2 linked regions of the Tamandua tetradactyla genome follow. The protein of the gene in region 2 purifies or fractionates together with the protein of the main gene of each other region. This does not show direct contact. Links are inferred from orthologs where the notes say so. Each region holds a gene or a part of one and is shown on either strand. Other genes may lie near its edges. The genes, in order: ENDOG and DNAJA1.

Region 1 (9,836 bases), about 11 Mb from region 2:
TCATCCTTCTAATACCCACGTTGAGGACCAAGAACTTCCTGCCTATTATCTTGGGAGAGCCTCCCCCTGATCCCGGGAGGTAGGAATCATTACTGTCATCCCCATTTTATATAGAAAGAGACTGAGGAACAGAAAGGTGAGGCCTGTCTTTGGCAAGTATGCAGCTAGCCAAGTGGCAGATTCTGAAAAATGGTCCTGGGTCTGTCCTTAACCTCTACATTGCACTGCTGAGGAACAAAGTCCCAAGGAGCTCAGTCCTGGGCAGTAAGACACTGAAGAGAGGTAAGGAGCCAGGGGACCCAGGCAGCCTTGTCCCAGCATACTGTCACACTTCTCTTCCAGGAAGCCATCCTCATCTCCCTGTCTGCCCTGCAGCCTGGCCTCACCCAGGCAGGTGCCAGGCCCAGCTGAAGGTTCTTTCTGGCCCAAGAAACTGAAACAGCAGCGTTGAAGCCAGGGGTTCCTACAAGACATCTGGGACAGACATAGCCAAGACCTGTCTCAAAAATAACTACATTTAATGTGATCCAACTCCTGTATACCCACAGTCTCATCAGGCTGCCTCCCTCACTTGCTACCAGCAGTGATGGCCTTGACGTTGCCTGCTCGTGCCAGGATGTTTGGCACAAAAAGCAGCCCTGAGGCCCTCTCGATGCTCTCAATGGGCACCAGGAAGCGCTCCAGTGGGATGGCCTCGTCCACAGGTGCGTTGGGCATCACATAGGAGCGGAGCTCAATCTGCCCACCTGCTGCCTCCAAGATCAGCACCTTGAAGAAGTGCGTCGGCACTGCCACATGGTTCTTACCAATGACCTGGTACTTCACGTAGGACTTTCCATCAGCCTCCGTCCTGTGGGCAGACCCAAGCACATGTCCTTTCAGGGCTTCCTGGGGGCCTGAGGCTTGGTCCAACCCCATGCCAACGCCTCTTCCTCCAGGAAGCCTTCCCTGACCCAAAGTCCACTTCTGTCAAATGCAGGGCAGCCCCTTGAGTGTGAGGCTTCTGTACCTTGCTCAGCTCCCCCATGAGGCTGAACTCTTAACAGGGAGGGCACTGCCTCTTACCCTGAAGTGTTTTCTTCATGCCCAATACTGAGCCAGGCAGAGTACATGGCAATAAATACTGCTAAAAGAACCAGGCCTCCTAAACATTCACATTCCTCTTGTGGGCATTTAATTACTGTTTGTCTCTCTCTGTGGGTGGTATGCAAGGACCATGATGATTTAATCCCCAGTACCCAGCAAAGGGCCTGGTGTGTAGTAGGTACCCAGAACACTGAATGAATGATTTACTCCATTTCTGTAGGCCATAGGAGGCACTTGCTAATTAAAGCTTATCAATTCTCCAGCCACCACCCCAGCCAGCTCCTGCCAAGCCCTTATTGTTGGCCAGACCCTGAGCTAAGCAGGTGACATTCACCATTCTACTCAGTCCCCTCAACAACCCTGAGGTAAGAGGTACAGTCCTCTTCTTACAGGAGGGTCATTCAGGCTTATAGGTCACTTGCCTACCACCACCTAAGAACTAGGTATTAGGACCCAGATTCCATCCCAGGTCTGTACACTCCAAAGCCAGCTGCTTAGCCACAACCTATTGCCTTGCTCATCCCTATCCTCAACAGACCAGAAAAAATCAGATTGTGCAGAGAACCTCATTCCCTTTGACCTGGGAGCTAGAGTTACACCAAGGCACAATAGTGAAGGTTTTGAACCAGTCAGATCTGAGTTAAAATGCTGGCTCCAGGGGAAGGGTGTTCAGAGCAGAGAAAACCCAAGGCAAAAGAGCTTGGTGCATTGAGGGATCTGCAAGGGTTTCTGCCTAGGTAGAATACAAATTTGGCTGGGATTGGGTATGGGAAGAGGTAATGGAGAGGAGCAGGGCAAACTCAGAGGTAATGGAGAGAGGAGCAAGGCAGACTTAGGGTCCAAGAGAGAAATGGTGTAGGTGGATACCCAAATGGAATGGAATGCAGGTCCAAGGCAGGGAGAAGGACAGACCTATCAAGAACCAGAAGAGTACTGACTTGGTGTTGATCCGGAGCCTGAGGCAAGCGTGAGTGGTAAGAAGGGACTTCCAGATGGGTGGGAGACCATGTCATCCCCAGGTCCCCCCACCCCTAGTTTCAGTCTCACCTGGGCAGGAAGAGAGGCCCTGTGCAAACATAGACATTTTGATAGGTACGGGTCAAGCTGCGGCTGTACTTCTCCAGGTTGTTCCAGGCATTCTGGTTGAGGTGGGGTACCTGGGAGGAAAGGGGGTTAAGTGGGGTATTCCCCTTTTCCCAGGACTGTCCCAGGCCCTGAGGGGATGTTGGCATCAAGCAGGGGGATATCTAGCTATGGGCAAGCAAGAGCAGGAAAGTGAGGTTCACAAAGGAGAGTCATTCCCCAAGGTGACATGGTCATGAGGGCCAAGTCCAAATATGGCTAATGAAGATGCTACCCTCCCATCTAGAATGGAAGGGCTAGGCACCCCTAAGTCTCAGTTTCAAAGAGGTATATGAAGGAAGACGTACATCTTCCCCATTAAGATGAAAGAAACAGGCCTGGCCTGCAGAGGGCTTCACCAGAAGACCAGCTCTCCCAACCATCTCTTCTTTCCTTCTAATCTAAACTACGTGTAGAGCTTAGCGAGAACTTCTTGAATCTGCTACTGACTCCATCACTTTAGCTGGCGCCCAGGCCTCATTATGATGTCTAATAAAATGGGTAAAGGACTGTACTATTGAGAGAGCATAAAAAGAAGTCAGGCTGGAAGCTCATACCCCACAGGCCATTCAGAGCCCCACATCAACCTCCATGGACTGGGTGCCAGACCCTGTTGGGAGTGGGGCCAGAGGTTGAGTGGCTTATCCAGGGTACACGGTAACTGGTATTAACAGCCTGAATGCTTGCCAGCTATTTTTCCTTTTGCTCCTCTCAGACAGGCAGATTAGGGGGCAATGGCTGAAAACTTAGGTTCGTCTATATAGACTGCCTGGGTTCTCCTCCTTCCAAGGTGTGTGACACTGGATTAGTCACTTGGCCTCTCCAAACCTCAGCTTTCTCAAAAAAAAGCCACTAATTAACATTCACTGAATGCTTGCCGTGGGCCAGGAAGTGTATTCAGTACTTTACATGCATTGTATCTTTAATTCCTCAACACTACCGCAAGAGGGAATTACCCCATTTTACAGACGAGAGCACTGACGCTCAGGCGCGGCCCACAGCAGAGGCGGCGCTCTCCCCTTCCTCCTACAAGTGCAAGGCAGGATCAGTAAGGCACCTGGCCTGGAGCGCGCACCCGGCGGCGACTCCATGCTGCAAAGGGGCAAATCCAGGCTCAGAGAGGCAAAGCGCTACCTGGGGCGAGACGTTGCTCAGGTAGAAGGTGTCGTCCATGGCTTTCTGGCTCCAGCGGTGGTTGGCAGCGGCGGCGAGGTGGCCGCGGTCGAAGCCGCTGCCGCGGTAGTCGGAGTTGGTGGCGCGGTGGTACGCGTGCACCGATTCGTCCTCGCGAAAGTCGCAGGAACGGCGGTCGCCATCGCCGCGGAGCCGCTCGGGCCGCAGCTGCTCGATCACCCAGAGCGCGCCGCGGGTGCGCGGGTCGTAGCACAACACGTACGATTCGCGGTTCTTGAGCTGAGCCAGCCCCGGCAGCCCGTACTTGGCCAGCTCACCCGGGCCGCCACTCGCTGGTCCCCCGGGCACCGCGGGCAGCTCGGCAGCCGCCACGGGCAGCACGGGCAGCCTGCCCAGAAGTATGGGCGCTGCTTGTGCCTCTGCCTGCCGCCGCCGCCAGCCTTCGGCGGCCGCGCCCAGCCCAGCGCCCAGCGCCAGGGTCAGGCCGGCCCGCAGCGCCCGCATAATCCAGCACCGTAGTGGGAGCGGGAATGGAAAGTGCCACTCGGGACAGAGGGAACCCGGCGACCTCCGACGCCCAACCCGTGAGGCTCTTAAAGGGGCCGCACCAGCCCGCGGGCCCACCGTGAGGATGGGGGCAGGCGGAGACGTGGGAGGGTGAGGATTCGTCCGTCTTTCTATTCACAATTGCTCAGAAAGGCTGGAGACTCGCAACGAGAGAAGGACCAGCAGCGGGTGCACATTTCGGCTCTCGTTCTTTGCTCTTTAAAGACGCAGGCTTGAAGTGTGGCAGGCCCACTTTGCGCTAGGACTGGCCATCGCCTGCCCGGCTCCGCCCTGCCCCCCCCCACGTGTCTACACCGAGGGACCCTCCCCCATCCAGGCCGTACAGCTATTTCTTAATAAGCTCCAAGAAGTGTCAAGTACAGGTCTAAACTCTTTAATTACTACTTCATGTAATACTCAAAAGAGCTCCAAGAAAAAAAAATTTTTTTTTAAAAGAGCTCCTAGAGGGAGTTCTTGGTTGGCAGGACAAGGACAAGACCACAAGTCTGACATCAGAGCCCGTCTTCCTAACCATAACACTGTAAAATAAGCCAAAATGCTACCAGACTGGTAAAGATTTCCTTAACAGCATCCAGAGCTGAGACAAGGATGCAGGCAGCCTATGCAAACAGCTGGGTGGAACAGAAACCGGTACAACGATTCCAAAAAGCAGCTTGGCAGGATGCATGAAAAGCCTTGAAAAGGCTCAAACCTTTCAACCTACTTAGACAACTGAGCTGGGAAAATAATAAAAAATGCAAGATTTCAAACACGAATATTCAACACAGTGTTATTTAAATAATAGGTGCTAGAATAAGCAAAAGATTCAGAAATAGGGACTGGCTAGTGGACATATATTAGCATATTAGATGAAATAGTATGTAGCCCATGAAAATATTTTACAGCAACATGCTATTATCTTAAATAGGGACATATACAAAACAGTACATCAATAAAAAGAATTACATCTGCATAAAAAATAAAATGGTATCAATTATCTCCAGATTATAGGATAATGGGTGACTTGTTTTAGTTACGTGTTTTTGAATTTTCAAAGTTTTTTAAAAAATAATTTGCTGTGTAACCATGTTAGAAGTACTTTCCTAGTCAACATTCCTTTATACTTCCAGATGTATATTGCTGTAGTTGAATTAGAAGATCTGAATAGGCTCTTGCAACAAGATTTCCTGGATTTTGTTTAGACCACTCTGAGACGTCTGACTCTATCCTTGCTCAAACTTTTTTCCCTGCTCCTAGAGTTTTCAGTAGAGGATAGCACCAATGGCCACTGGAAAGAACACATGATTTATTAAAGACAATTTGTCATCACCAGCATTGATTCAAGAAAAAAAAAAAAGAAAACACAAAAGCAGACTAACATTCCCACCCTCTGGAGTGAGGCCTGCTAAACTCATACAGCCTAATCTGTAGAAGTGTCTGAAGTCCGGGGGACAGTTTCTCAAGTAGGAAGCCTTGGGCACTGTGGCTCTCTTGGGCCCTTCCTTGAGGAATGGGGGACAGGGAATAGTCAAGGGCAGGTCCTTCCCTTAGGCAGTATCCTACTGGGAAGCTCATCCTAACTAGAACATGGTCCCTATGATCTTGACCTTCATCCCAAGATCAAGGAGAGGGCACTGGACACAGGTCTGCCACTGAGGCAAACTAGGTACAGTGATTCAAGTAGTACAGCCCAGGGAAGGAAGGAAGGTGAACAGGCAAGAGGGGATGCATAGCTGTCCTGGGCAGTGTCTGCTGGGTCCCAGGCCAGGGCCCAGGCCTGAGTCTGTGAAGAGATCAAAGTTGGGGCTGAACCACCAGCTGACAAGCCCTGGGAGGAGGGTGGGTCAGGCTGGGGAAAGCAGTGTGTGTCTCTGCCCCATCACAGGGGTCTCAGGGTATGGCAAGCATACCAGTTGTCTTCTCTCTACCCTTCCACTCACATCCAGTATAGAATTTAGAACCCTCCCAGCCAGAACCTGTAGAAACCCAGAAAAGTCCCAGAGGCAAGAGGAGAGGATGCTGGCTCTGACCTTCAGAAATCAGGACGACACTGTCTCCAGCTCTACCTTCTGTGCACCAGCCCCAAGCCTAAATTAAGCACTTGCTAATCTGTAATAAATAATCAAGAGTCTGAATAAATAGTTACTATCTCCCCCAAATACTGAGTATCAAGAGAAGTATCAGCAAAAAAGGCAAGTGCATAAAGTTCCAGCAGAATCCAAGGTAGAGCATTTGCTGGGGTAAGCCGTTTCTGGTCCACAGCTGGGCCTGGCTGCCTGATTTAGGAAAGCTTTGAAGCAAGAGGACTCCCACAGCTTTGTTCCTGCTGGCCAGTCTAGGGAGGCTAAGGGCCCCTGCTACAGTACCTGCCCTTCCAGGCCAAAATCACCTGCCTCCTCACAAAAGAAGGGAGGGAGTATGGTGGGCATAAGTACCACTCCTCCCACAGCCCAGCCCCAGGAGTAGCCAGCTGCTCCTGTTCAGAGTTCACCTGCCCAAAATTCTGGGAACAGCCAAAGCAGGTGACTAGAAGAGAAGGGTGAGTACCTCCTTCAGCCTGCTTAGGAGATGACAGGACACACAATGGAGCAGAGACAAGGCCCTCATGGCACAAACAGGATTCAGGACCTTTGAGCTCAGCTATAACAGGCACAAACAGGATTCCACTTACCCTTTTTGGGACTCACTACCCTGCACTGGGACCTGGAAGCCAAGGGAGTGACAATTCTTAGGAAGCACTTGGATCCCAACCCTTGGAATAGAATTACCTTTTCTATTCCCTTGGAGTACAGACAATCCCCAAAGAGAGAAGGGCCTCAGGGTGGACTCTGGAGAGAGACTTATCTCCCTCTTCATTCCTCAGCAGCTTCTGGTTTCCAAGATTTCTATTGTGGGGAACAAGTTAAGGGACCTCTAGAGAGGCACTATGGATTTCCTCCCATTTAGAAGGACCAGGGAGCCTAGGACTGGGAGATAGGAACAAGATGCAAAGGCCAAGGTTGACCTCCTGAGGCTTTGCTGAGCAAGACTCTTCCACAATCTGTCTTACAGGTTGACGGGAACAGAGAGGGAAGGAGGGGAAGAGGCTCAGGATAAGGCACCCCAAGAGAAAAGGGCAGAGGGAAAGCAATGGAGAGGAACATACCAGAGTAAGAGTTATTCACACCCTCGGTGAAAGAGGCAGAGGGAAAAGAGAGGGAACCAGAGATAGAGAGGTAGAGAGACAGACCTAGAGGGATTCAAAGATACCCTTACATACCCACTGACTGACAGACAAGACAGAAAAGCTGCTGAGACACCTGTGGAATTCAGAGGTACATCTAAGCCAACCTACAACCAGGCATGTACACTCAGTGGAAGAGAGATGGATGGCATGACCTCAGCCTGTCAGCCTCTTGGCTCCTTCATAGTGTCACTTTCCCCATGGAGAAGGATAAGCACCAATGCTCAGATGAAGTGGAATCTGAGCCATCTGCCCAGCTTCTTCACCACTCCCCCTTACCAGACTCCAGGGGAAGATGAGAAGCAGGAAAGGAGAAAGGGAGCCACAACAGAGGCAGGAAGGGACCCTTGCCAGTCTCCCAGTCCCCTTAAGCTGTCCTCAGTCCTGGGAAACAGAACTTCATGAGTTCCAACCTTGCTCAGCAGTCTGGGCAGAGGGCCCCAGGGATGAAGAGCAGGGAGGAAGACAGGGCTTGGTGGTTAGGGAATAACAGCACAGTGTGCCCCCAATGGGAGCGGCCTAGGTCAAGGGAGCCAGGGTGAGAAGGCCTGGAGTATGGCCAATTCTGCAGCTTCCCGTCCGGCTGGGGATCCCACAGGCTTCTGCACATCTCAGAAGTAAGGGCACAGGGGTCGGGTGGCTTCTCTCCCAAACCTGGGTCTCCTGTCACGAGGCTACTTTGAGTCTTGGAGTTCCTTGGCTTTCTGTAAGATCTGGCAGACATCTGTGATGGGGTAATCCTAGACATAAGAAAGGCCAACAATAATATACATTTTGTTAGAATAGAAAAAGTGTGATGATGGTGGGGTGGGTGGGTGGATGGGGACCTAATAAAACAGAAGTAACATTTTGGCCCTGGCATTACAAGAACACAGGCAGTGTTAGGTCTCCAAGTCTTAGAATTCATATATAACGGTACACTATGTAATGTAGAGTCTATGTAGTATAGTAAGTTTACATTTGAAAATATCAGGATATTGCTATTAAGCTTTGGGGAAGTAGTGGGGAGGGCTTTATTTTCGCCTCTGCTTGGGCCAGGCAGCAGATGAGAAGCACTGGTATCTAGGGAACTTGTAAGGGCTTGTGGATAGAATTAAAAATATAGTTAATACCAATTAAGTATAATTAAAACCTTATACTTTAAAAAAAAAAAAAGAAAGAAAGAAAGGCCAACAATATGCCTGTGAAGTAACCTGACTCTTTGCCACCTTTGTCATATCCCTGCCTTTCCACAGGGGCCTTCACTGTGCTGGGACTCTCAGACTCAAGGACAGGGACCACGGATACCAGATACCCTGTGTTGCTGCCCAAAGTCCTGAGGTAGCTAATGCTACATCCACTGCAGTACTAACTTAACCAACCCAACCAGTGCCACCCAAAGGGTCATAGCTGGTTCCTTAGGACCAGACCCTATCCAACCTCACCTCTCCCCAGCCGCTGCCCTCAAAACCTGAGTTCCATTCATAATGAGCCTGGTACTGTGTCAAACACCATCCATGTATTACCTCACTGAATTATCACAACAGTTCTACGATTTACTTGATTTAGACAACGAAGTTATTAAAAACCAACCCTAGGCCAGGAGTTGATGAAGAAACGGAGGTCTAGAGAGGTTGGTACTTGTCTCAGGTCATATGACTAGTATAGCAGCACAAAGACACAAATTCAAAGCTGCCCGACCCTTGTGTCCATGTTCTTAACCACAAGGCTCCACCCTCTCCTTTCTAAGTCCCTCCATCCCTGAGCATGATTATGGTGAGCATTACCAGGGTGCCCGCTGTGCTAGAGGTACACTTAACTTCTGGAAAGCACTTAGTTTAGAGAGGCCAAGTCATTCACTAAAGGCAATACAACACTCAAGGACAGTGGCAGAGCCAATATTCAAACCCAGCTCTGCCTCAAGGATTTGGATTCCTGCTGCACTCTACACTTTACTGTTCCTGACCCTAGCCTGTCACAGCAGCAGGAACAGGGTGGGTGCCTGAATAAAGACAGAGCTTGCCCCTCCAAACTTCTATTACCTGCAGGAGCCGCATGTTTACAGTAAAGTCCCCTTCCAGCAACTGCTCCCGGATCAGTCTAAGAAACACAAACAGCAAAAGCTCTAGAACCCTGGGCCACTCTAAAGATGAAGGCACAGCTAAGCCCCTTCCCACTCCTTCCTTTACCACCCACAGTGAGTTTGCTTTAAAGTTCTCTCAGAGGCTCATTCCAGCTCTGTGAGAGGAACCCCCTACTCTCCTGAGGGCAGAGTTCCTCCCTTTTATTTATTCCAGTGCCTGGCCAGATGAGCAGACATCTAATCAAGCCCACACTCACATGAGCATGGCACAGCAGACAAGGAGCAGGAAGTCAAAGCGGTTGTCATCAGCGAAGAGGGAGTCCCAGATCCGGATGACATCAGGCAGCAAGAACTCCTGGGATAACAGCAGTGTCAGCCAGCGGAAGGCGAAGAACTGGGGCTTGATATTCTGCTCTTGCTGAGGAAAGAGGGATATGGGGTGGTGTGCCATGTGCGTTTGTTGTTTGCCACCGACTATCACACAGCCTATTAGAAATGAATTCAGATGACCATTAGCACCAAGACCCACAACCTAATGTCAAGGTGTCAGCACGGCAGGTGGGAGTACCAGGTATGCTATATGGAGGTGAGGGTGGAGAGCCTTCTGGTTAAGTTACTGCTTGGCACCAGTTAATGTTATCAGACCTCCCAATTTTACAAGAG
Region 2 (10,554 bases):
AACCAAAGCTACAGGCTGAGCCCCCCAGGCTTGGGGTTTGTTCATATGAAAATTAACCCCACAAAGGATAGGTCAAGTCTACTTAAAATTTAGGCCTAAGAGTTACCCCCAAGAGAGCCTCTCTGTTGCTCACATGTGGCCTTTCTCTCCAGCCAACACAACAAGAAAACTCACCATCCTCCCCCTGTCTACGTGGGACATGACATGACTCCAGAGAACTGACTCCCAGGGATGTGGACCTTCCTGGCAAGGTGGGACAGAAATCCTGGAATGAGCTGAGACTCAGCATCAAGGGATTGAGAAAACTTTCTCGACCAAAAGGGGGAAGAGTGAAATGAGACTGTCAATGGCTGAGAGATTCCAAACAGAGTCAAGAGGTTATCCTGGAGGTTATTCTTAACGCATTAAGTAGACATCATCTTGTTATTCAAGATGTAATGGAGAAGCTGGAGGGAACTGCCTGAAAATGTAGAGCTGTGTTCCAGTAGCCATGTTCCTTGATGATGATTGAATAATGATATAGCTTTCACAATGACTGTGTGATTGTGAAAACCTTGTGTCTGATGCTCCTTTTATCTACCATGTCAACAGACGAGTAGAACATATGGAATAATAATAATAGGGGGAACAAATGTTAAAATAAATTTAGTTTGAGATGCTAGTGATGAATGAAAGCGAGGTGTAAGGGGTATGGTATGTATAATCTTTTTTTCCCTGTTATCGTTTTATTTCTTTTTCTGAATTGGTGCAAATGTTCTTAGAAATGATAAATATGCCACAATGTAATGATATTGAGAATTACTGATTATATATGTAGAACGGAATGATACGTTAATGTTTTTGTTTGTTCTTAATTTTTTTAATTAATAAATTAAAAAAAAACCAACCCATTTCTGATATATAGCCATCTCCACATTAGCAAACTAAAACAATCATACCTTCACATTTGTCGCAAATCACATTCTTTTGCAGAGCTAGTTTTCTTGTTGCACCATTATATAAATCTTCTAAGGTTACTGAGAGTTGATGTACAACATTTTTACCTAAAGCAAAATATTATTTATTAAAACCCTTGTGTTAAGACACTATTAAAATTGTAAAGGATAACGAAGTATGTGTTGAAGTATGAGCACATACACAGAATGTTCATATTTATCACATATCATCCTTGAACTGTGATGCAATTACAGATAAGGTTACTTGGGTCAGAAACGAAGTTAATTTGCCTGGGGATATAGATGTGGCCATTTTACAAATTACAATAAAAACATTACCTGCAAAAACTTCTGGGGAAAAAAAAAATCAATGTTATCTAAATAGGCACATTTCAAAGAATTAATCCAAACTTTTGTTTCTAATATATTCTTGGAACCTTTCATTTTGTGTGATATGGAACAACATGCCCATATGTCACTCAAAGATTCTTCCGCATAGTAAGCTCCTAGTAACTGAAATCTGTAAGGAAAGCTGTTGTATCTGAGTCGCCTTATAAATTCCTACATCCCTTCTTGATCAACAGGAATATAACTTTTTAATGTGGGCCAGCACTTGTTTAAAGATTAGCTTTCTTATAACTTACAACTTTCTATAACTAAGGAAACATTTTATATCTGCACTGGCCAGTACAGCAGCCATCTGTCACATTTGGCTATCGAGCCCATAAAATGTGACTACTGTGAGGAATTGACTTTTTATTTTATTTTAAATTACTCTACATTTAAGAACTACATGTGGCCAGTGGTTAAAAAGGAATGGCATCCTTAGAATGGAAAGTGGAAGGTTAAGATCATATAAGGACACTGTGGATAAAGAAATGAAGTCACCTGTCAATGGTTAGTTAATAAGTTCCTAGCCTAGTGATTCTTCCACAAGGACTTTATCCACCACCAAACAGTACTATCTTACACCTAAATGAAAAAGTTCTGAAACTTCTTCCTGCATAACATGCCCAAGGAACATTTTTGTTTGTTTCAGCTACATGTCACATACCACGAACTATACCCTTCTGCTCCTAACTGCACCTCTGGGTTCCGTATTGTACAGTCCCATGAAGTTAATTCTGCATGCTAAAAGCTATGTTTTTTACTTTAAACTTTGTTATACGGAGTCGGAAATGTAAAGAAGGAAAAATAAAATTTCTAAAGTTTGATGAAGCACACTATTTTCTGGTCTAATATGTTGGCTTCTTATTGATCTAAGCCATATAGGAATTTACGAATAGTTGTTACTAAAAAAACAAAAAATCAATCCTAATAATTTACTAATAAAGCAACTAATTTGGATTGTAGATTTTCTTTTTATAGTAAATTTCTACAAAATGAGCAAATAAAAACATATTTGTTTCCTTGAAGACCTTTGTGAGGACTGAGTAAACCAACAACTTCCAAAGTCTTTTTGAACGGTAAAATCTCAACAGTGAAATTTAATGCTTGCTAGTTTGTTCTGAAACTGGCTTCTAACCATTAAACCCTGTTTGTACTAACTATACTGAGAACAAAGTCAGAGCAATTTCTCTTGACCAGAATACTGTAGTTTTACAGTACACAACCACATTTCTGTTCAATGCTATAAACGTATAGTTTGGTAAAAGTGGTGCAAGATTCAACAGTTAAGTTACTTGGAGGCGACGAAGCTATCTTTCAATCCTGTAAGACCTTGACTACGTCAAGTTTCTGAACACTAACTCACCCTTGATTGAAAAAAAGGCCACAGTACCCACCACTGTGTTGCACCAAAGAGCTGTAAAAACGGCTTAGAAAATTATACTGTTAAACTTTGTCCCCTTAATTAACTTTAGCTTTAGTCTAAAAGCTAAAACTTACTAGAAGCACTTATTTATTACCACTTAATTACCTTAAGCATTTTTAGTTCCATCAAATCTTCACTTACAAAAATTATAAATCAGTTTGTGGCCAGTTGCAACTTTGTACCAACAAGTTAGAAAGCACTGGAATAAATGACGTCACAAGAATTTGCTTTGTTCAATGGCTACTTTAATTTGTTGCATATTGACCAGGTTATTCTTACCTCTCCTTTCTCTCTGCATCCTTCCACCACCTCCAAAAAACATATCAAAGATGTCCATAGGGGAGCCAAAACCCCCTCCTGCTCCACCCTCTTTAATGGCCTGTTCTCCTCCTTTGTCATATAATTCTCTTTTCTTGGCATCAGAGAGCACTTCATAAGCTTGCGAAATCTGTTTAAACTGTTTACAAGAAAGGAAACAAATTTCGTGTTTTTTAAACAAAAGTATAACAAAGCATAGCCACTATATTAGGCACTCTCAATTCCAGGTCCTAAAATATTTCATACGTCTGGCAAAAAACTATTCAGACAAGTTTAAGGATATGTATTACTTGCCTTCTCGCCTTCATTTGGATTCTTATCAGGGTGGTATTTCAAGGCAAGTTTCCTGTAAGCCTTTTTCAACTCTTCCTGGGTGGCATTGGGTTTGACCCCCAAAACATCATAGTAAGTGGTTTCTTTCACCATTTTCTACAGCCTGAAATTAAAAAATGCAATTTTAAGGGACTTTCAATTTGTACTTTCAGTTAGTAAAACCTGTCCTTTGCCAAGATCTGATTAAAATAACACAGCTTCTTAAACTTCAGAGTAAAGATAAGGATTCCTATGATAATTCAGCCCGAGTTCTAACAGACCACATACACACTAACAACTAAGAGAAAAATTCAAGTCTTAGCAGTTGGTTCCCACTCTCCCAAATGAAAGCCTCTGTAAAAACGCGACAATTAACCTGGATTGCTTATTTCCTATCCCCAGAGATGGTGACAAAACAGCAGTCATCCAAAGAACACCACCATATTCAGTCCATCGGTTATTACATTATCATTGTCTTCAGTAAATTCGATGAACGCCAAACACTAAGAAAATACATCTGGGCTCGACCGGGGGTGGGTGGACAACGTGGTTTATGGAACTCATTAGGAACATTACTTTCAGAGAGTAAGCGCCCCTCCCTCCCATCCTGAGGGACAGCTCTCAATCAAGGAGCTTATATCTCCTCCGCTTTCATCGCCGAGTCCCTCCTGCCCTACAAGCCAGTGTCAACCACTGTATTTACATCTCGCCAGGTTTCTCCCCTCACTTGGCGCCGTTTCCTTCCTTTCTCCTTCCTACCCTGTATCTAAGAGGTGGGGGTAGAAGCCCAGGCCTAAACAAAGAACGAAGGCAGGGAGAAGAAACGAAAGCGGCAGCTTCCGCCCCACCCCTCCCGCAGCCCCTGGCCCCTACCTCCCCCCGCGCCTGCGCGCAAAGGCGCCCACTCCGAGCGAGCGCGGGCGGAGGGGGCGCCAGGGCGCGCGCGGAGGGGAAGCGGAGGCGGAGACGGCGGCTCCCTGGGGACCTCAGGCTGGTTGGGGGATGGTTACGTGGGGGGGGGGGGCTGCGTGGGGGGGGGGCTGCGTGGGGGGGCACTCAGAGAAGGCCTCACGTCCACTTACTGGGTACCGGGGATGGACTGTCGGAGTACAGTCCGTGGATACCGGAATGGGGAATCGTGGATACAGGAACCGACAACCCTCCCGCCCACGCGGAGCTAACCGCCTCTAACCGCGGCTCCACCTGAATCCCCAGTGCCTCAAGAGTGCCAGCCTGGGGACGAAGGAAAATGCGAGGGCTGAGACTCACCGGTGAGCAGGCCGAGGCTGGTGAGGGGGAGCGGGAAGGAGCGCGTCGCTGTGCGCAGCTCAGGCACCCACCACTCCTCCACCTCTCACCGAGCGTTCTGGAAAGTTCCGGCCGGCGCGCCGCAGCCGTCGTCTTTTGTAGTCGAGCCGGGGCGCGTCACTCGCCGGAAGTCCCGCCCCTCCCGGCCACTGCCACCGCCCACGGTTACCTGGGCAACGGCGCGGGGGCACTTGGGCTGGGAGGGGCTGCGCGGAAGGGCCTTGTGTGGGGGGTGGGTACAAACCCACGTTCTCGACGCTTTTGGAAGCTTCTGGAGCCATTATCTTTCGGCAGCCCTAGGTGCGGAAATCCCGGGTGGACGCGGTTATTGTGCCCTGTGCGGTGCAATTCCGATGCAACTCGGGGATCTGAAACTATTGGGGCGGTTGCGGCTGCTCGATAGGGCGGGGAGGGCTCGGGAGCCAGGCGGCTGCCGTCTGCCGATTGGGAACTTCCCAGAACAAAGCACTGCAGCCCCTCCTCCCCACCGTCGCCTTTTCCCCCTCTTTCCCCTTCAACTGTGTTAGTTCTTGACCCTGAAGTTCTGGGAACTCGCGGAGCAAGAAATGCTGAGCGAGGTGGACCTAGTCCACAGACCCTTCTCAGGCCTTGAAATTTGGTCTTTTTTACACAGTCTAGAGCTTCTTAATTCACCAAACTGGGAGGGAGGAAGAGCCCTTTGTGGATGTCTCGGCCTCCAGGTGCACATTATCTGCCTTAAGCCTTTTTGTCGCCTTCGTATTGAGTGCAAGGAGTCTGGGATTGTGGTAAACAGAGAAACGTTTAGGATTGCTTAGTGCAAGCTGAGAACCATAGCTCCTTCCCTGGCGAGGGATCCCTCCTGGTTGGGCGAGTCGGGGACACGGTAGCGCTAAGAGTGGCTAGCTGTGAAAAATTGTTTTACGTGACTTTTAAGTCCCAGCATTCTGTGAACTTGGATCTAGAGTCTATGAAGTGAAACGTTGGGTATTCAAATGTTGGGAAGGAAGCATAATGGAAAACGGTGTCCATTTTCCTGAATGTAATACATTAAATTTATGACGACTATTTAGCACCAAAGAAGCAGCAAAATTGAGAAAGCATGGGCCATATCTCTTGGACTTAGAGGGGAAGCCTTTGAACTAAACCAGAACGGCAAGATAGTGGTCAGGAGGGGAGAGTTTCTAGCGTTAGATTGATTGGGGAAAGTAAAGCGTTTTGGGGAAAATGACGGTTATAGGGAGTTTTGAAAAGGGAGAAGAGCATTCCTAGGAAAGGATAAAACAGAAAAGGTTGAGAGGTGTGGGAAAGTATGATGTTTTTAGGAAATTGTAAGTAATTGAATACAGCCAGAGCTAAGGCTGCCGGAGTGGCTGGAGGTGAGGAGTCAGGTCGTTGGGAAATATCTCCATGCTTTGATATATCTTGCCAAGCTAAGAATTTTGAACTTCACTCGGAAGCATGACCCTGCCCTTCAGCCTTATTGCCCTCATTGATTTAAACGGGATACCTTTCAACCAAGCTGTCTGTAGTTTCTCAAATGCAGTTTTTCAAGTCCGCGTGATTTTGCTTTGCCTGTTAAACACTTAAATTTTCCAGTGTTACATATAACTTATGAAGTGTAACCCACACTTAATTTAAAGCCTAATATTGCCAGACGGTAATTGCTACGGCGTGCAATATAACGATTTTCTAAGTCATGGTATCTGCCCTCAAGGAGCTCACCACGTAGTGAGGGAACCAGAGACATAATATATTAAGAATATTTGGGGTACCAGAAAAGACAGTGTTCTATTAATCCATTCTTGGAAAAAAAAATATTTTGGTGCCGATTTGGGGAACTGTTTACCATACAATTAGGTTTGCCAAGCAGAAACCAGCAGATGTGAAGGCATGCATGGACATGAACAATAAATAAGCCATAACTAAATATATTGTTCTTGTGTTACATAAGAGTTTTAGTCCTGGAGTTCCTACTTTACTGTAATTTAAGTTATGCATTTATGATGTTAATATTGATTAAGCAAATGAAGTAAACATCAGTATGGTATATATCAAATGACTTCAACCAAGAGTTTCCACAATGACTACTACTATGTTTAGTGTTTCTGCTTCAGAAACCCACAAGTTTGAGAACTGCAAATGTGATACAAACATGAAGATAACTACTTGGCGCAGTGAAACGTGATGTTGAAGATAGTTTTAAAATGTGCAAGCTCATATAGTAAGTGAATAAATAATGGGCATAAAAGTTGGTTAATGAAAAATATATTGCTTGTGTATGCATAGACTACTTCTGAAGATACACAGTAACTTGTATGGTTGCCTATGGGGAGAGCTGTGGAGAAAGGGACTGGGGGGAGGGGACAGATGAGAGAGGCATTTCACAATGTATCTTTTTTTAAGCTTTTGAATTTTTAACCCACAAGAATGTAGTACTTACTAAAAACTCAGCTTAAAAAAGTATAAAATTCTTCCCTCTCAATTCAAGCTTTGAGCTAGTAACTTGTAACCCCAACAGCAAAGTTAGGTCATAGTTGCCTTAAAAGCCACCCTTACATATGTTCGTTTGACAGTTTTTCCTTGATAGAACCTATCTCGAAAAATACATTCTGGCGAATAATCTGGCACCTTAATAGTAGAAGTTTTGACACTTTTTTTTTCTTTAGAAGTTAATGCTTTTAAGAAGCATTTTTATTTACATAAAATACCCAAAACAGCGATAAGTTTATGTGATTTTTTTGTAGAAATGGGATCATATATAGCATAGTGTTTGTACCTTGCCCTTTTTGCTAAATTTGCTGCTATGTTACCATGCATATCATGATAAATATCTACCTTCCTATTTTCGATGATTTCATAGTATGTAGTATGCAGGACCATAATTCATTTAACTGTTCCCCTGTTGATGAATAATTTTATTTTTACAACATTTTACAAGCGGTGCTACAGAGGAGAGTTCTCAAGTAGATCTTTGGGTACTCATGTATCTATTTCTGTAGGAGGAACACTTAGAATTGAAACTTCTGGGTCAAAGTGAGTACAGATTCAAAATCGTAATAACTTTCCATATAAGTTCTATCAGTCTGTACTGCCCCCAGCAGTGTGAGTGGGCCTTGCCAACATGGAGGGTTCTTTTATTATTATTTTTAATCTTTGCCAGCTTTAGAGATAAAAATGATACCTTATTGTTTTTTTATTAATTAAAAAAAGATTAACTAACACAACATTTAGAAATCATTCCATTCTACATATGCAATCAGTAATTCTTAATATATCACATAGATGTATGATCATCATTTCTTAGTACATTTGCATCAATTTAGAAAAAGAAATAGTAAGACAACAGAAAAAGAAATAAAATGATAATATAGAGAAAAAAATAAAAATAAAAAATACAAAAAGTGTATATAAAAAAACACACAAACAAAAAAAACTATAGCTCAGATGCAGCTTCATTCAGTGTTTTAACATAATTACATTACAATTAGGTAGTATTGTGCTGTCCATTTTTGAGTTTTTGTATCTAGTCCTGTTGCACAGTCTGTATCCCTTCAGCTCCAATTACCCATTATCTTACCCTGTTTCTAACTCGTGCTGGTCTCTGTTACCAATGACATATTCCAAGTTTATTCTCGAATGTCGGTTCACATCAGTGGGACCATACAGTATTTGTCTTTTGGTTTTTGGCTAGTCTCACTCAGCATAATGTTCTCTAGGTCCATCCATGTTATTACATGATTCATAAGTTTATTCTGTCTTAAAGCTGCATAATATTCCATCGTATGTATATACCACAGTTTGTTTAGCCACTTGTCTGTTGATGGACATTTTGGCTGTTTCCATCTCTTTGCAATTGTAAATAATGCTGCTATAAACATTGGTGTGCAAATGTCCGTTTGTGTCTTTGCCCTTAAGTCCTCTGAGTAGATACCTAGCAATGGTATTGCTGGGTCGTATGGCAATTCTATATTCAGCTTGTTGAGGAATCACCAAACTGCCTTCCACAGCGGTTGCACCATTTGACATTCCCACCAACAGTGAATAAGTGTGCCTCTTTCTCCGCATCCTCTCCAGCACTTGTCATTTTTTGTTTTGTTGATAATGGCTATTCTGGTGGGTGTGAGATGATATCTCATTGTGGTTTTGATTTGCATTTCTCTAATGGCCAGGGACATTGAGCATCTCTTCATGTGCCTTTTGGCCATTTGTATTTCCTCTTCTGAGAGGTGTCTGTTCAAGTCTTTTTCCCATTTTGTAATTGGGTTGGCTGTCTTTTTGTTGTTGAGTTGAACAATCTCTTTATAAATTCTGGATACTAGACCTTTATCTGATATGTCATTTCCAAATATTGATTCCCATTGTGTAGGCTGTCTTTCTACTTTCTTGATGAAGTTCTTTGATGGACAAAAGTGTTTAATTTTGAGGAGCTCCCATTTATTTATTTCTTTCTTCAGTGCTCTTGCTTTAGGTTTAAGGTCCATAAAACTGCCTCCAATTGTAAGTTTCATAAGATATCTCCCTACATTTTCCTCTAACTGTTTTATGGTCTTAGACCTAATGTTTAGATCTTTGATCCATTTTGAGTTAACTTTTGTATAGGGTGTGAGATAGGGGTCCTCTTTCATTCTTTTGCATATGGATATCCAGTTCTCTAGGCACCATTTATTGAAGAGACTGTTCTGTTCCAGGTGAATTGCCTTGACTGCCTTATCAAAGATAAAATGTCCATAGATGAGAGGGTCTATATCTGAGCACTCTATTCGATTCCATTGGTCGATATATCTATCTTTATGCCAATACCATGCTGTTTTGACCACTGTGGCTTCATAATATGCCTTAAAGTCTGGCAGCTTGAGACCTCCAGCTTCGTTTTTTTTCCTCAAGATACTTTTAGCAATTCGGGGCACCCTGCCCTTCCAGATAAATTTGCTTATTGGTTTTTCTATTTCTGAAAAATAAGTTTTTGGGATTTTGATTGGTATTGCATTGAATCTGTAAATCAGTTTAGGTAGGATTGACATCTTAACTATATTTAGTCTTCCAATCCATGAACACGGTATGCCCTTCCATCTATTTAGGTCTTCTGTGATTTCTTTTAACCATTTTTTGTAGTTTTCTTTGTATAGGTCTTTTGTCTCTTTAGTTAAATTTATTCCTAAGTACTTTATTCTTTTAGTTGCAATTGTAAATGGCATTCGTTTCTTGATATCCCCCTCAGCTTGTTCATTGCTAGTGTATAGAAACGCTACGGATTTTTGAATGTTGATCTTGTAACCTGCTACTTTGCTGTACTCATTTATTAGCTCTAGTAGTTTTGTTGTGGATTTTTCCGGGTTTTCGATGTATAGTATCATATCGCCTGCAAACAATGATAGTTTTACTTCTTCCTTTCCAATTTTGATGCCTTGTATTTCTTTTTCTTGTCTAATTGCTCTGGCTAGAACCTCCAACACGATGTTGAATAATAGTGGTGATAATGGACATCGTTGTCTTGTTCCTGATCTTAGGGGGGGAAAGTTTTCAATTTTTCCCCATTGAGGATGATATTAGCTGTGGGTTTTTCATATATTCCCTCTATCATTTTAAGGAAGTTCCCTTGTTACCTTATTGTTTTAACGTGTTTCTTTAATGTGTTTCTTTGGAGTGGTTAAGGATCTTTTAACTGTTTACTGATCGTTTCTTCTGTTGACCATTTTTCTATGGTGTGATGCCACAATTTTAATGATGCACTTTTATATTAGAGATATTAGATGTTAGTCTGTTATGTGTTGCTTTTAGTTTTCCAATGTATTCTTAGTTTTTTATTTATTATCCATATTTGTACCTTTTTTGGCCATATAAAGGTTTTAAATTTTTATTTATTTATTTATTTTACATGGGCAGGCA

What was found.
Region 1: the proteins of DNAJA1 (region 2) and ENDOG purify together in Homo sapiens (affinity purification with mass spectrometry; 3 studies listed by BioGRID and IntAct, counting the BioPlex papers as one, with this or other methods). This does not show direct contact. The link is inferred for Tamandua tetradactyla from reciprocal best matches to the Homo sapiens genes DNAJA1 and ENDOG.

Annotation. Positions count from the first base shown.
Region 1 is NC_135328.1:51,647,159-51,656,994, reverse strand, and holds ENDOG (endonuclease G, mitochondrial), read right to left. Parts: upstream 4,170-9,836; 5' UTR 3,847-4,169; coding exon 3,343-3,846; intron 2,244-3,342; coding exon 2,134-2,243; intron 1,136-2,133; exon of another isoform or gene 851-1,135; coding exon 568-850; 3' UTR 502-567; downstream 1-501. Other genes in the region: SPOUT1 (28S rRNA (uridine-N(3))-methyltransferase), read left to right, coding at 343-411; TBC1D13 (TBC1 domain family member 13), read right to left, coding at 7,530-7,851, 9,431-9,591. UniProt on the Homo sapiens protein: Endonuclease that preferentially catalyzes the cleavage of double-stranded 5-hydroxymethylcytosine (5hmC)-modified DNA.
Region 2 is NC_135328.1:62,869,167-62,879,720, forward strand, and holds the start of DNAJA1 (dnaJ homolog subfamily A member 1), read right to left. Parts: upstream 4,798-10,554; 5' UTR 4,648-4,797; intron 4,192-4,647; exon of another isoform or gene 3,755-4,191; intron 3,503-3,754; 5' UTR 3,493-3,502; coding exon 3,361-3,492; intron 3,206-3,360; coding exon 3,028-3,205; intron 1,044-3,027; coding exon 939-1,043; intron 1-938.